Mytilus edulis: one gene and its partner. The protein of the gene in region 1 interacts with the protein of each later gene in a biochemical or structural test. Links are inferred from orthologs where the notes say so. Each region holds a gene or a part of one and is shown on either strand. Other genes may lie near its edges.

What was found.
Region 2: the proteins of ADP-ribosylation factor-like protein 2 (region 1) and tubulin-specific chaperone D-like form a complex in vitro, tested with the Homo sapiens proteins (2 studies listed by BioGRID and IntAct). The link is inferred for Mytilus edulis from reciprocal best matches to the Homo sapiens genes ARL2 and TBCD.

What each region holds. Positions count from the first base shown.
Region 1 is NC_092346.1:19,391,293-19,400,807, forward strand, and holds the start of ADP-ribosylation factor-like protein 2, read left to right. Parts: upstream 1-5,693; 5' UTR 5,694-5,769; coding exon 5,770-5,834; intron 5,835-9,070; coding exon 9,071-9,181; intron 9,182-9,515. Other genes in the region: ribosomal protein S6 kinase delta-1-like, read right to left, coding at 541-785, 1,181-1,356, 2,010-2,125, 2,611-2,728, 3,882-3,917, 5,421-5,534. UniProt on the Homo sapiens protein: Small GTP-binding protein which cycles between an inactive GDP-bound and an active GTP-bound form, and the rate of cycling is regulated by guanine nucleotide exchange factors (GEF) and GTPase-activating proteins (GAP).
Region 2 is NC_092352.1:73,254,357-73,263,061, reverse strand, and holds the start of tubulin-specific chaperone D-like, read right to left. Parts: upstream 3,559-8,705; 5' UTR 2,943-3,558; coding exon 2,786-2,942; intron 355-2,785; coding exon 304-354; intron 1-303.

The DNA of each region.
Region 1 (9,515 bases):
GGAACAAGCATATTGCCTTCTAAATCCAATGTTTATATTTGTCCAAGAACTCCCATGAAATCCAGGTAAAAAAAAGTGATATATCCTGACCTAAAAGAGAATTTCTGCAAATTCAAATGTTTGAAGAGAAGTTAAATATGGACAAGACCTTTGCCAAACATGAAACAATCTTATAGAAGTAAACAACATTGAGACATCAACCCTACAATACAAATAAAACAAATTATATTTAAAGGTAACATAAAGCCTAACAGCTGTCAAAACAAAATGCCAATCTCTAAATAGTTTGAGTCTAAATAGTTGTGAATAATTTAAACAGAAATTATCTTCAATATTCTGTCATCAACAATAAAACTTGCCAAATAGTTTAATACAACACTTCTTGTTGGATTGCTTGGTTCGTAAGTTAAGAGAATATGGGATAAAAAAAAAACAACAGAAAATGAGAGCAAGTAAGCACTATGCTTTGAATTTAATGCAGACTGTTAAAGTAAATTTAAATTATTATTATAAGCAAAACAAAATGCAATAATATTTTACCTGCACAAGTATCCATTGCAGCAAACAGCCAACTACTGCTTGTCTTTAGCCCTGGAGTTGGAGGTCCTAGGTCATCTGATTTTAAAGGATCAAATGAAGTAATGTCCAGCTCAGGTAATGAGGTACTTAACATGGACTCAGCATCTATAGCTTCTGAATCATCAGTATCATCAAAGGAGTTCAGACTGATGTTGTCAGGAACTCGGGGGAAATTCCATACTCCTTCTAAACTTTCATCTGTGTCACTGTAAAAAAAAGAAAATAAATATGTCCATAGTGATTTGTCAAATTCAACCAGTTCTTTAGAATTGACAAGACAAGATCTAAATAAAAAATCTAAAATAAATATTTCTTCTTCACAAGATTGAAAAATTTGCTTAATATTGCCATTATTTGTTTTATCAATTGAAATTATAAAACAGCTACTCACTACTAAGTCAATGAAAAAGTTTATAATTTAAATTAATTTTGATTGATTGGTGTTTAATGTACTTTTAACACTTTTGTGATATATCCTGCCTATCAGTTTTTATTGTTGTAGGAATCCGGAGTGCCCAGAGAGAACCACCAACCTTTGGTTGGAAAATAAATTTTGAAATGAATGTATAAACTATGTAAAATTTTGTATCTTTTCACTTACCCATTCTCTTGTTGTGAACTATTCCCGTTACTGTTTTCTTCATCAGGAGGATGTTTGACTGGTTGTATGGGTTCCGTCTCTTTCTTTTTATTATTTTGTGGATTAGCTGACTGCATTATGTCCAGTTTTGATGGCTTTAATACTTTACCAGATACTCCTTCTTTAACTTTTCCACCCTTTAAGAAAGAAATAAATGAATTATTTCATGATCACAAGAATATCTACTCACATTTTAAGAGCAGAGAGCAATAATGGCATTATTTAACAAAGTTTTTAACTGAAATTTGTATCCTATATCCTAATTTGGCCAATTTGATAAGATACTTCAGGACTTGCTTTTCCGTTTGAATTTCCCTGCTTACAAGGAAGATAATTAACCTAGTGTTCTTTATGAGGAGTTAAAGTCACCTCTTTAAATTTATAGGACAACATGATTTGGGTGACTTTTGTGTGTAGTTTTGTGGAATGTTGTCTTCTCTTTCTTTTAGTCATATAGTTAACTAATTTTTTGTTTACAGTTTTTAAATTTAATCCTGGTATCTTCTTACTTTTTTGTTTAAATAACATTTTTAATTGTGTCAATTGATACATGCCTTAGAAGTCTTCTAAAAAATCTTATATATGACTTCTTTGAAAATGTCCTTTTTTTGGTTTAGAGGAAATTTTTTATATTCCCTCTAAACCAAAAATAGGACATTTTCAAAGAAGTCATACATAAGATTTTTTAGACAACATGATTTGGGTGACTTTTATTTTACATTTTCAATAATTAGCACATTCTGACTGCTCTTTTCAAAGAAAACAATCATTTTTACAATGTTTCACAAACCTTAAGAAATTCTTCAAAAATTTTAGAGTTATATAAATGTGGCTGACTTCCTATGAAGACTAAGAGATCTATGGCACTTTTTCTTCTTTCTTCAATAACTGTTTCTTCAAACCTTCCTGTATAAGCATGAAAAAAATTACACAGTTGATTAGATCGGGTAGTTTAAGAACTCTTTAAACTTCCTTTATCCTGAACTAATGGCAAAATATAACATCCAATTGTATATACATCTTATCATAAAAATTTCTAATAGTAATTTAAATGATGGCAAAATATGACATGCAATTGTAAATAATTCTCATCATAAAAATTTAACAAAAGTAATTTAAAGAGAGGCGGCATATTGAATTGACTGAATTTTAAATTCAATATAATAAATCTGCTGCATATTTCTAAACATATTTTCAACAGGCAAAGACATACTCAAATATTACACTTGATTTAATGCAGTTATACATAGTAATCTTTGGAACTATATAATTCTTTAGGTCTTATTTGGATAAATGAATAAATCGTTGCCAGGCTTATCTGCTAAAAAAAGTAAACACATCAAAAGAGTATCTGAGAAAATAATTTTGTTCACATAAAACATGAACCATACCAAACAACTTTGGTTTAGCGAATACTGGGAATGGGTTCCTTCTGTGTAAAGCTTTGTGTAAGTTTATCATTCCCTTGTATAATTCTTTAAAGTCATTATATCTCTTCCATATGATGATCTGAAAATACAAAACATAATTAAATTCTAATTTTCTGAACAAATTATAATGGATTAGATATGAAAATATATTATTATCATGGTTATTTAGTTACAAACGAATTCTACTAACTTTAGGTGAAACACTCTAAAATGTCATTCTGAATACTTAAAAAGATATATTTTCATGACAGGGTCATTTTTAGCTTGTTATTGTCCTATTTTTCAATTATTCTCTCATCATCAGCAAGAGTGATTTTAAGCTGAATCTCATTGTGACAGTGTGTATTGGAGTCTATATCCCCAGAGCTTCAGTTTTCAGTGTCGTCTGTTAACCTTACATGTAGCTGTATTTGGCAAATTAAACATATCAGAATTTTAGATCCTCAATGCTCTTCAACTTATGTTTTTGATTTGAGTATAACTAATGCGTTTTGGTAGACATCATGCACGTCTTGCATATGAAATTTTAATACTGGTATCTATGATGGGTCTATTTTTACATCGTTATTTTTAAGTATTGTCCTAGTCCTGGTGTATTAATGGATTGTATCAGTCTTAATTGGGGTTATCTAATTATGTTTTTTTCAGTCCTCTATTACAAGTTTAATACATTCTTACAATAACACTGTTATAACGTTTCTCAGGATTCAACTTTTTTGTAAAATTTTACCACCTTTTGAATTTTGCATTTTCTATGCCATGCATAATTTTTCACAGTACATTGTACCAGCAATGTCAAATCTATTCATGAAACAAGAATGTGTCTCCAGTACATGGATGCCCCATCCGCACTATCATTTTCTATGTTCAGTGGACCGTGAAAATTGGGTAAAAACTCTAATTTGACATTAAAATTAGAAAGATCATATCAACAGGTACTAAGTTTCAAAATGATTGGACTTCAACTTTATAAAAAACTACCTTGACCAAAAACTTTAACCTGAAGCATAACAGACAGACTAACGAATGGACGGACAGACAGACGAACGAACAGACCCACAGACCAGAAAACATAATGCCCATAAATGAGACATAACAACATCAAAAAGGTTCAATTTTCATTCCAAAAGGAAGGATGGGTCATTCACTTTACTTTATTGTTTTGAATTGTTACTATGTCCTTGATTTTTCTGAGACATAACTATTTATTTCAAGCTGTTATTAATACAAACCTCTGTGAGCTTATCTGATTCAGACATTCTAAAAACCTAGAAATATAAAATAAAAACAGATACATAATATAATTAGATGTCAATAAAACAGTTAATCTGTAATAAAAAAACACACATTAACAATTTTTTGCACTTGCTGAATAAAAGGAGTTAATTATAAGCAGGTAAAAGGAGTGCATCACAAGAAACAGTGGCAAAGTCGATGATGCAAGAACAATGAAGCTTACTTAACAAATTAAACACGATTTAAATCTACCCGATCTATAATTTACATGTATGCTTCCTATGGCTGCTTATATTATATGTCATGTAAGACATGTAAGATGTATAATGACCTAAATTTTAAGATTTTTCTAGTTTAAATTTTTTGAAACATGTATGAATGCTTTAATTTAAAGAACAATGTTCAGTCTCCCTATTAACTTTTTTGGTAATTGTGTGCATAGAAATATTCTTTTCTTAAAACATCTGTGACAGGATTGCTATTCTTATATGTGGTAGATACTTACCGTATAGCAGGTCATTTTTGCGGGTGTAAAATTTCAAAATTTTTATTGAATAAGGTATATGCAATATTTTGACAGTTATTATTTTGGCGGATTCAAAACTTATCAATATCCCCTTTTAATTGGTGGAATTTATTTTGGCGATCTTGTTCTATCTGCCAAAAATAAGCGAAAATTTACACCCCTCAAAAATAACCCACTATACGGTATATAATTAGTCAGTCATAAGCGGTTGACCTAAGGAAGACATTAATCCTGCGCGAGCTCAGTCAGTATAGGGGCTACCTTGTAACACAGAGGTCGAGGGTTAGAGTCCCTGTGGAGACCAGTAATTTTGTAATGAAACTCATGCTCTCTGGCTACTTTGGCCCTAACTAAAAAAACTCACAGTGGTAAGGGAAGGATTCTAGCTAGGGTATGTGAGTGAGAGTCATAATGGTATGATAACTATTGAGGTGAGGGAATTATGTGTGACTGGATTGCTTTCCTTAGTAAATCACTAAATGTGGTAGATAATTAGCTCAGTCGGGATACATGCTGCCTTGTAACACAGAGGTCCAAGAATCAAGCCCCGTCGGAAACATGGTTGATTTTAAATGGAGAATCATGCTCTCCGGTCCAGTTATAACATGTACATGATTTCCTACTAATTTGTACATGTATATATATCTGCCAGGAAAAAAATATGCACCAATAACCTTTGATTGAACACCTGACACCAAGTAGCAGATGCTACAATTTTAGAAAGAATGAGTCGACCCAGTGCAGGTGGACAGGCCTAGCAGTACTAGCATTGTAGAAAACACGATTCCCAACTGGTTAAAACGTATTGTGCATTGCCAGTGCATATAGCAAACATGCGGATTTTGAGTATGTAAATACTGACACATACAAAAAAATGTAATCAGTTTCCTATCAGTTCACTGATTCTAATATTTTTTACCCGGTTTGTGACGTTGAGGGTTGTTCTTGTGGGCTAATTTTATAGGGTAACTAAGAATGATATGGAGTTCAATTACGAATTTAAACGTACTCTAATTGTAACTTTATAAATTGTGAAGCCATTTGGATGTAATGTTGGATCAGAAACATTAAAATTCCATATTTTATCTTGCACAGATGTTTGACGTTTCATTCTCGATGCCATTTTCGACTTGCGGTGTTATGTCGTAAAATCGTAATGATAAGTCTCTTCTATAAGATTGTTTTATATAAACATCCTTATTTCTTATGTTATAAATATTTTCTGTTTTCTTACAGTAAAAGACGAAAATTTCTTCATCAAATACAAAAATAATGTGTATGTCGTAAAAGTATGAGAACAACTGTATTCCTGCTCATGACTCATTAGGGGACCAGATTTAAGCATTAAATTATTAAAAATGGGACTTTTAACCATTCTTAAGAAAATGAAACAGAAAGAAAAGGAAGTCAGACTTCTGATGTTGTATCCTTTTTGTTTTACTTGTGACTTAATCATTTTGTTCTCTATTTTATATGTAAATGCACAAGATTATTCCATATTTCAATTATTTGTATCAAAAAGTGAAAAACTTGCCATTACCTATCGTGTATCGTGTTTCTTTTGGTTCTTCTTCTTCTTCTTTCAGTACAGAGTCGGACTCTTCTTGAGTGTATAAATGACTCTTGCTCGTGAAATCATGAGGCCTTCCCTCCTCACTTAATAAAAACTATTTACAGGAAAAATTATTTACAAATAAAACTATGTACATCTGGGGTCAAAGGAGATCTAGGTGTGTGAAGCTCCTGTCAAGGCCTCTGGCAGGATGGTAAGGCTGGCCTTGAACTCTTCTAGTGTAGCTGCTGTTGTGGCTTTTTCCGGTAGAGTGTTCCATTCCCTGGTTGATCTTGGGAAGAAGGAGTACCTGTATTGGTCTTTTAGAGTGCGCTGTTGGTGTATGCGGTGGCCTCCTCTGGTCCTTGAATCTCCGGGTTTGTAATAATTAGAGGGGTCAATATCCACCAATCTATTGCGGATCTTATATGCCATGGTGAGTCGGTCTTTGCAGCGGCGATCTTTAAGAGGCTCCCATTTTAGTCTCTCCATTAAGGAGCTGACACAACCTGGGGATACATCTTGGTATTCATTGTACACGAACCTAGCTGCCCTTCTCTGTACTTGTTCTAGGTCTTTTTCAAGGGTATGTTGGTAAGGGTCCCATACAGTGGAGGCATATTCCAGGGTAGGTCTGACCATGGTGATATAGGCGTTAGCTTTGACTTCTGGTTTACACCGTCCTAGGTTCCTTCTCAAAAAGCCTAGTGTCCTTGATGCTTTGCCTACCGTCTGGTTGATATGTGTCTTCCACTGTAGGTCATTGTTTATGGTGACTCCCAGGTATTTCCCATGCTCGACTGCATCTAGTGTGTGACCATGTAGTTGGTAGTTCGTTATCAGTGGGTTTCTTTTGTTGGTAATCCGTATCACGATGCATTTCTCAGGATGGAAATTCATCTGCCATTGTGATTCCCACTCTTGGAGTTTGTTAAGGTCGTCTTGGAGTGTCTCGCTATCCTTTATATTCTTTATTTTTCTGTAAACTAGGCAATCGTCTGCAAATAACCTTGCCTCAGAAGATGTTGATTGTGGCAGGTCATTAATATAAGCCAGAAATAATAGGGGTCCGATGACTGTTCCCTGAGGCACCCCTGAGATGACGTCTAGGGGGCCAGACTTATGCCCTTCAAGCAATACGGATTGTGTTCTCTTGCTTAGGAAGTCTTGTATCCATTTGAGTGTTACTCCACGTATTCCGTAATAGTCCATTTTTTGGAGGAGTCTCTTGTGGGGCACTTTGTCAAAGGCTTTGGAGAAATCAAGCAGGTTAGTACTTCGCTTAAGGGTTAGTAATGAAAGGCGTGTGTTCATATCAAATTGTATTCAAATTATGCATTGAACTTTGCGCACAAGTCAACGTTACGTAAACTTGCAATATTCAACGTAAACAATACACCTTATCACTAATACCGGCTGACCCGGCCGCTTGAACTTGTGACGCATACAACAATCACTTTTCCATTGTGGCGTCAGATATTTTGTTTTATGACGTCAAAATATTACGGGAACCTGTGTGATATCCAGTAATGGCGGATAAATAGCGATAAGGTGTATAGGTAACGTTAGTGATGTTAGTTACTTAGTAAATGTACAGCAGCTAATACTTGAGACTGGGGGCGCTGAAAAATGAAAATTAATCTAAAATTATTAAAAAGAAATGAGCATACAAAGTGTGAAATGATAATTAACCATTTAAAGTCCATGTTATAAAATAGAAATTGTTGAATTGTCTATTCAGTATGATCATTATCAAAATTATGGCACACTTGATAAGTATATTGTCATGAAAATATTAAGTCCATGTTTGAATCTTTAGCTTGGCTTCAGTTTTACTCGGTGCTCTGTCTCCGTGAATTTTCATCATTTCTGGTTCCCTGCTTAATGTGTGTATCCTACCATTATTCTTCATTGTGTTGCTGTTTGATTGATACATCTCACAAAAGTCTTTGTTAATTTCAGTTGAATTGTCAGATACAACTCCCATTGATTCGATTTTCCCAAAACGTTTCAAATCGACTTCTTCTGTTTTGTGTTGTAACATGAAAAATGAGGATGTGGGTCCAGCTGAGGCTTTCATTGGTCCAGAAAGTAGGTATCCGAGTTTCGATTCTACTGCGGTCGGGCCTGGTCCACAGATAACTGTGTCTTCTACGATATCCCAGTAGTAATCCGAACCTATTAAAAATGAAATCCTGAATTTATCCATGTCCCTAACAGAATGCGCTAATCTAAGTCTACTGAGGTAAGGCAGTTTGGTAGAATTATCGAGTCGATGATAATGTACATGTATATGATATCTGTTTTAGGTTTATTGTTTAGTGATGTTGTAAATTTTCAGAAAAGTGCACACATAGAAAAATAGTGTATGGGAGCTGAGACTACTATAACACATAGTTATGTGTTTATTATAGTAGTCTCAGATAGGAGAGACATTTTAAACCCCTAACATGCAATATCCTTCATCCCTCTTCAGGTTTGGAGACTTTTGTAGTTGATCTGCAACACTTGATTTTAGACAATAGTCACATACTTATTGAACAATTGTGGTCAGCTGGTGTTCACATGTACTATATATTTACCTGATAAATAAAGTACTTGGATAAAACTGTAAAACCAATTGGTTTGATATGCTTCCATAGGGAGCATAAAGGGTAGAACAGTTGAATTGGATCTTCTTTAATAGAAGGAGAACACAGCTGGTTTACCATGTAAGTGCATCTTGGTGTTCCCCATATCTCAAACCCTCTTTAATCTTTTTCCTGGAATTAAAAATCATCAATTCCTGATATTTGGTTTCAAGCTTCATGCAAACATGGTTTAAAGTATGATACATTTTCACTCACTCATCAACTTCCTTATCGAATGAATTTACACAGATATGAACACCTATTTAGAAGATTTAAAGGTACTTTTTAAAAAGGCTTTGAACCTTTTTATATAGTTTAAAATTTGGAAAAGAGGTGTGGTGGTATAATTGCCAATGAGATAACTTTTAATCCGAGTCCAAATTATGTGGATGTCAGTATTAGACCGTGCAACGTTTCCAAAACTGATCAAGGACAATGAAGCATATCTTTTGATTATCAAACCTTAACATCATGTAGGGGATTGGACAATGCTGGAAAAACAACGATTCTAAAGAAATTTAATGGTGAAGATATAGATACAATTTCACCAACACTTGGATTTAATATCAAAACACTGGAACATAAAGGGTAAGATAACTGTCATGACTGTTTATCTTTCAGTTGGTAAGATATTCATTTTAAAAAAAACACCACAGTAACATATATGTATTGTTTCATTTTGGGATTTTAACAATTCAACTATGAGTCTTGTGAAATGGTAGATAGAATATGATATAAATATTAAAGCAGATATATATTTGGTATAAATAAATTCAGATTTGTATTTCTACAAAAAATATTACCATGATTACAAAAAACAGTTATTTCAGGAGATTAATTTTAAGAGAACAAGCTAGAGAGTTAAAACTTGAATAATCTTCATGAACGAATATTCAAGTTAGTGGGCTGTGAATCTTAAGGC
Region 2 (8,705 bases), on another chromosome or scaffold:
TTGAGGAACAATTTTGTTTTATAGTATATTTGATTTCATGATTTTGTGCATGTTTGCTTACATGCGTTTAAAAATTACTGCTTTGTTGGACAGGATTATCCCTAACCCACAAAATCCATCAAAATTGGTTATATCAACAAATAGTACTTATGATTCCAAAGCAGCTCATTACAGGGGAAGCTTATTGTTAACAGTTTCAAGATGTATATGTATACAGAAAATAACACTACCGCAGGTGGGACAATCAATAAACGTTTACCTAGATGTCTAAGACAATCTATACATATATATCAGAAAACATACCTAAATGTCCATCTATTAGATGAGGCTGTTCTTGGTACTTGTCAACAATAACTGTAAAATAGAGACTAGTATAAACATGATAAACTTTACCCATCACATGATAAACTTTACCCGTCACATGATCTCACCAAGTCTTGTGTGATAATGCACATCATAAACATGATAAACTTTACCCGTCACATGATCTCACCAAGTCTTGTGTGATAATGCACATCATAAACATGATAAACTTTACCCGTCACATGATCTCACCAAGTCTTGTGTGATAATGCATATCATAAACATGATAATCATTAGTGTTCCAGCTAGGATTCCAAAAGGGCAGGGTGCCAATCCTGAAAAAGGGCATTTAACGCGTAATATGATAATATGAAAAGGGCATGTTTTAATAAAGATATTATTTATCAAACATTGTGTTTATTCATTGAATCACTGGTTACACAAGAGCAACATCATAAGTCCATTTAGAACTCTATCTTTCTACTTTTAAGGCTGAAAAACTTGTCAAACAGCTTGTCAGACAAGTTTTTAGTTCATTGATTGGCACAGTTGAGCTTTATATGCAGTATGTTTTGAAAGGTGACCTGCTTCATTCTGTTTCTATGGTCTGACACACTTTACCAGTTTCACATTTCTACCTCTGCTGTGCTTAATGGCAATACAGCACAAAACAGCTGTGTGCAGTGTTAGGATATAGCAACAGTGAAAATTTGTATTAAAAATAAAGAATACAGAAAAAGATGACCAAGACACCCTACCAACACTGCTACTAAGACCCTCTTTAACTTTTCCCATAACTCAAAATACTTAAACATATATATTCTTAAGCAAGAAGTATGAAGACATATTTTAGAATATGTTAAGTGGGTTACTCAATGCTATGAAATAATCAGATTGAGTTATCTTTCTTTATTCAGGTGTGCTCCTTCTTTGGAGGATTATAAACAGTACTTAGAAGATGTAAATATGATCAACAATAATATGAGGGCAGTCAATAACAAATACGTCTGAATTTGCTATTTATTTCACGGAGAACCAGTAGAACGATGTCTTCCACGAGTTGTTTATGGTTTTCAACTTTCTGTCATTACATTTTCTCCATGAAACTACGGTAAACATTGCAAATTGTGCCTAAGTTGTCGTATGCACATTTCTTCAAATATAATTGCAGATTGACCGATTCTATTTGAATGAATTAATGTTGATGATCATTAATGACCCATCCGATAAACGGATTACCTATAACAACAGATTATGACACCAGTTAAAACCGTTGATTAGCTTGGGGTCGTAAACAAAGTCATAACTTATCGCCAGGTAAAATTTAGTAATTAGCGGATCATATCATTAATAGGAACAAAATAATATACAATCGATCTTCAAAAGCCAGGGCGCCCTGGAAACTGTAAAAAGGGCACAGGGTGGCATTCAGGAAGGGCGGGCACCGCGCCCTCTGAAAACGGCCTAGAGGGAACACTGATCATGATAATACGTAACATTGTATAAAGCAACATTTAAATCCTTATTAAATAATAAATAACTATCCCATACCTGTCTACTTTAAATTAAAAAAAAATCTCCATTGTGTTTTCCAAGATCACTTTAGTCTTTAGAATTTTGCACGTTTTTTCAAATTAAATTCTCCCCCAAGGGTGACTGGAGAATAGAAATATGGTCACTTGGTCTTCTACCGACCGGCAATAAAACGCTTGCCGAAGTGAGGCGTCCGTTTGGCTGTGCGGGATGTATTACAGAGTTCACGAAAAGTGTCAGTCCTCAGGATTTTACCACCAAAATTTTCATCTATAGGACAGACACAATTTTAGTATTTTTCAATAGAATTAGTAGTGAGGACCAGTAGATTTTCTTCATGGACCACCAGGGAAAAAAAGATTTCGCGAACTCTGGTATTAAGTTCACAGTCACGTCCGGTTAGAATTGGGACGTTAAATTTGATGTCTCGTGTATAGAGAGTGCCACGCTCTTTGCACGTTAAGAACCCTTACAACAACTTGTTGAGGGCCCGTAGGTGGCCTGTTGTAAGGCAAAATTTCTGTCCCTATCCAATATACCCTCATTTTCAAGTGGCAGTCGAAATTTCCCTGACTATCATCCCTTATGGCCTCTATTATGACAAGACCTACCTATTGTATTTATTGTGAACTTGTTCTCGTCCTGAATATGCATGAAATATTTACCACTGGACGTTAAGCAACCAACAATCAATCAATCAATCAAATTAAGTTCTGGATTTCGAAATCAGATCCCCCTTTTTTTCTTTTATGTTTATAGTTGGGCACTGTTGTTCAATTCTACTTTTCATGCCTCACAAATCTGAACTTTTAAAAGGTATTGGTCATAATTTCTGATTGAAATATGTATTCAATTAAATTATGTTTGATCATGTTAAACTATTTTTAATGAGTCATGAGTTATGTTTGTTTGTCTATCAGTGTTACACATTTTATCGTAGCTTTCTTACATGTAAATCTCTCGACAGTGGTTTCAACTGCTACCTGGTCTTTAAATATATCTTTCAGATTATCTATCAGTCCTTTGATTTCATTGATTTCCTTGAATTCTTCAAGTATGTGGCCTTTTCCAATTTCTTTTTCATCGTCTTCGATGTTGTCCGCCATGCTTAGGAATCGAATAACATTACGGCCTTTTTCTGTTGATGTATCGGAAAAATACGAGAGAAATCGGGTTTTGCTGCATTATCTGCCCTTGATTTTCGCGGTTTTTTTTCCAAGTCAATTCGGCTCTTTCGGCAGTTATTTAAAATGTTTAAATTTAAAAACGCCAATCGATATTAAATTCGACACCTGACAGCATTTTCAAAAGTGATAATCCAAAGAGAAATGATTGGTACATCGTTAAAAAATAACAGTAAGAATCAGGAAACATTAAAGATATTGAATACTAGATATATGATATCATATGTTTTTGTGAGGGGAGTGGTTCCGGATACAATATTGTAAGGCACTTCAATTAAAGCCAAAGACAGAAAAAAACAATTAACAATGTATGAATAGATGTAGACATAATTTCAATAAAACATGTATCACATCAAAACATCCTAACTACATTGTAGACAGTAAAAAGTAAAATCACTAAAATACTAAACTTTCACTAAATGGACAAATCACTTTGTTCTTCCTATTTTCGCATTTTGCTTAACAGCATCTTATTCAGTATCCGTCATTTTTTTATTGGTAATCAAGAATCCGCCACAAATTCTGTATTCTTGGTACCCTAAAACGAGAATAAATTACCCGCTAAAAAGCCCGTTATACTGTAATTAATCTATAATTATCTTGGAAATATGTCGTGGTAGACCCAGTAATAATAATAAACTCATCATATATACCAGGATTGAAATTTTCAATTTAATTGCGCCATACGCCGCACTTTTCGTCAACATATGACTCATCATGCAGGGACGCTCATATAACGAATCTGAACAAATGTCGGTCAGTCAATTTGAACCAATTCCTAAAAAAATAAAGCGAAAAAGTTTCCCCAAATTTATGCTATGTAGTATTTTTTTTCCTTCAAATATTTATAAACACACACAATGTGATAAGAAAACAACAAAAATACCCAGAAATATCCTTTCATTTTTATATTTTGACTCATTTTACAAACCTGCACAACATTTCGTTACGGAAGTTATTAGTAAAGAAAGAACAGAAAAAGATGATATAACTGACGGACCTGTATTATAATTTTCTTCTTTTAAATGTAATTTTTATGCTTTTTATAAAAAAAAATATGTATAGGATCATGCATCAATTTGAAGTATATTTCAAAATTAATCTTGGAAGAACACTCCTTTTGTTTTTACGCATACCAAATAATTGATAGCTTGAATACCATACAGATGTGCATCATGTGAAGAATGAGGCCCCTCATGGGGGTCCTAGTAATCACATAATCACCATTTTTTTGCCAATATAATCACATAATCATTAAATATTTGCTTATCTTTAGTAATCAAATAATCATAAACTAAAAATACAGTCCTAGGTAATCAAATAATCATAAAATATTTGGCTTAATAATCAAATAATCATTAAAAAAACGGCCAAGTAATCACATAATCAAAAACCCCATGAGGGCCCTCAAGAATGTAGCTCAATTTTATTACAACAACAAAGTATGCATCCCACCAACATGTTTAACACCACCACATTATTTTTGTATGTGCCTCTCCCAAGTCAGGAGCCTGCAATTCAGTGGTTGTCGTTTGTTTATGTGTTACATATTTTATTTTTTTTCGTTCATTTTTTTACATAAATAATTTTTTTTCTCGTTTGAATTGTTTTACTTTGTCTTATCGGGGCCTTTTATAGCTGACTATGCGGTATGGGCTTTGCTCATTGTTGAAGGCCGTACGGTGACCTATAGTTGTTAATGTCTGTGTAATTTTTATCTCTTGTGGACAGCTATCTCATTGGCAATCATACCATATCTTCTTTTTTATATATATCATATTTCCCCCCAAAAAAAGTATAACATTCGCAATTGACATGAACCGCTTTGCCTTTATTAAGATGAAAACACTGAATTTGTGTTAAGGAAGTTAAAATGCAAATGAACAGTCAAGAATCTTAGTGAAAACACAATAAACAATGATAACTTCATTCATCAAATTTTTTTTTATGATCTCATGCATTTAATTCCTTTACATCAAATTTAAATCTGATTCGTTTCAATTTTCCTCCGACTCGTGGTCTTTTAATACAGTAAGTATGTTATTTTTTTACTTCTCTAGGTCACATGTGTATTTTGTTTAAAAAATGAAGTTCAGTTCTTCATCTTTGGTTGAAATTCGAAAGGAACACGTACATGACAAACCCACGATTATTCAGGATTTTCACTTTGGTAAGTGTTTTGGGAGAATATGCTGACTATCGATGTCAATAGTCAATACCTTATTCCTGTATCAAGCATTTAATGTAATGTGGATATCGCACTAAAACAATGATGTTTGAGGCTTTATCAACGGGGATAATAAAGTATTTTTGATTGAGGTAAAACATAATTATTATGGTTAGCAATATTTGGGTTTTAAATCGATGTCTTGTTTTTCGGTTAAAGACCATTGCCTGGTATAATTCTCGACTGAATCTATTAGTATATTAAAGTTGTGTTACCATCTGATATATTTGCAGTGGCGAATACAAAACTTTTCATAAGGGGAGCCCGTTCCAGTCATGCTTCAGTGATTCCCTATATAATCAACCAAATTTTCCTCACAAAAACAGGGGCGTGCCCCTAGCCATATTTTGCACTTTTGAATCACACATCTTGCAGATTTTGACAATGTTCTGTTATCTATGAATAAGGGAATAGCACATGGCTGGAGTCACGTTTATTTTTGAAAGTCGTCAACTTTTAAATTGCAATAGGCTTGCTATAGGTAAATATTTTCTGTCCTTTGGTCTTGTCTGTTTGAAACATCCCCCATCCCCCATTTTCATTCTTAAGTAAGAGATGATAGGTACGTAATCAACTAAGTAAGGAGGTATTCAGTTTAGATTGAACTGATTTAAGATGAATGTTATTGCCTTAGTTGATGTAATCGAGATATTTCATGGCAAAGAAAATTCCATAAAGGTATAAATATAATTCTCCAATTCATTTTTTTGAATGCAAACCAGTCTGAAAAGGACGTGACTTCCGCTGTCGGAAATGAGCGCTGTAAGTTTGTTTTAGTTTGAATGCGGATATGTATAATTAAGATTTTCAAACATAAGTTTCACGGAGAATGAATTTTGGTAAGCGCTTGTGAATAAAAAATGTACAGATGTAGTTGGTACCGTTTGTCATAAAGCTTTTACAGTAAGTAGAAATGTTTGTCGTCTTATTGTCTTGGTGGTGCTGTGTCGTCAATTTGGTTTGACAATGATTACGTAAGTTATTAGACTAACCATTTTTGGAACACTTTATGAACGCACCTCCTCCAAGACCATCATTGATAGAATACCGTCATATCATAATCTATTTGACCATTTTTACATCGCGTCGATGACCGTGAGGGCATTCCGATGTATTGTTGCAACATGTATGTATGTATTGTCTTCGAGATTCCTACCAGTGTAGACGAACCCCTTGATTGACTGCAATGGTACTGAGGATTCCTGCACACTCCCTAAGGATTAATGGAGATGTGTCCTTTACATAATAAACCCACCACCAGAACAATCACCACCCAACACCACCAAAGGGAGCGTGTAGGACACCGGGAAGTCTGTTATTATGTTGGAGGAAGCCGAAGTACTCGGAGAGAACCACCGGGCTTTTCGGCGGGAACAGACAACCCGAAGAGATTTCAGAAGATTGATTTTCAGGTCAAGCTGGGAACAACTTTGTCCTACCGATCGCGAGGTATTCAATCTAGTTTAAACTCCAGTCTGGATACCAGAGATGTGTGTGGAAGGGTGAAAATCACCCTACTGATGTACTGAAAATTCGACGTCTCGAGTGAGAATCGAACTCGGGACCTTCAGCACTGTAGCCATCGGTCTTAACCAATAGACCACAAACCCACACAGAGGTTTGACTTTCGTTTTTAACCGACCGTATAAATTCGCGGACAATATCGAGTGCAAAATAACAGTCATTAAAAATTATTTATTCAATAAATAATCATAAACATATTTTTTTAGAACATAAATTAATAATATAAAAATGATTTGTCGTTAGAAATATATATAAAGGTAAATAATCATTAATATCTATGCACACTACTCGTACCAAAAATAATACATTTGATGTCATTGTTTAATTAAACTAACCAACAAAGGAGTATGGCTTCGAAGTGCCTATATTGGCCGAAATGAAAGTTTTGTTGAAAGAAAAATGTATTAAGACCCTTTTGAGCCAAAATTTACTTGTCTATAAGTTTGTATTATAAAACTTGACATTGAGGATTAATGCGCTACATAGTGTAACGGAGGGGGTCGGTGAAGACACCTCCCGGCACGTGTAGTGGCCAGTACTTCGCCCCTATTCGACCATCGGGATACCTGATATCAGATTATGGCTGAACAACAGACAATAAATCAAATGAAACAAATTTTATTCACAAATGTACAATAATTGAATCAAACAAAGTCGGAAATAAACAGAGTATATAAATTTCTTAAAAGAGGGACGAAAGATACCAAAGGGACAGTCAAGCTCATAAATCTAAAACAAACTGACAACGCCATGGCTAAAAATGAAAAAAGACAAACAGAAAAACAATAGTAAACATTACACAACACAGAAAACTAAAGAATAAACAACACGAACCCCATAAAAAACTAGGGGTGATCTTAAATGATGTTCAAAATTAGAGTTTTATTTAATTTCAAATGTAAAATGAAAATAAAGTGTTCCCAGAGATAGTCTTAAAAGTTAAGCCAATTAGCTTCGCGTTGTGTTTTAAAGTAGTAAAATTTGCACCAAAAAGGGGTGACTAACTCTGGCAAACTGCACCGAAGTGGTGGCTAATCCTCTATGCTCCGGTGGTACTATTTTAGTTCCCGAGAGCCTCGAGTGGAATGATACATTCCGGCGAGTATTTGGAGGCCTATGCAAGGCCGACTCCGACTGAATATCAAATGAAATTCTATAAACTTGTCATTAATCAAACTAACTTTAATAGAAAAGATACTGAAGCAAGTTGAATAAATGAATATTCTTAAAACACTATAAAACATCAAAAGTTAAATACTTTTAAAAACAGTAAAATAAACAATCCTTACTTTATTTAGTCTTACTATGTTTATATCAAATTAAACTTATATATAGTAAAATAAACATTTAAATACTAAATAATTAATCTGTCAAAATTAAGGGGAATTAACCTAGCCACATCAAGTCACATCTATTACAATAGTAAACTAATTTAAGATGTCCAGAAAACCAGGGGTTAGTTTTAATGGTACCTCAGTTCGGGAGGTCTCTTCTTTCTTATAAGATTTTAAAGGTATGTTAAAAATTGGCTTGTGGAAAAATATCACAAGATCGTTTTGCGGGAAAATATGAATGCCGACTCAAATCCAATCTATTAGAAAAATCGAATTATTACAGAAGAGTGTCTTCCATGTACTTGTACTGCACTATTATTAAAATTGTAGAATAGAATGATATACAAATGGATGAAAATTATATATATATACATGTATATATATTCAACTCGTCCAAACATCAACCCAACAATGTTAGATCTGTAAATTTGCTTTCACAATTTTTTTGTTCTCCTCGCCGGGATTCGAACCCATGCTACTGAGATATCGTGATACCGCCAAATCGCCTGCACGGTAGCCGTACCGCTAGACCACATCACCACCTAGGCTTTATAAAAATGAAGCTTTCGGTGGCCGGGTGTTACCTTTCCACGTCAATTT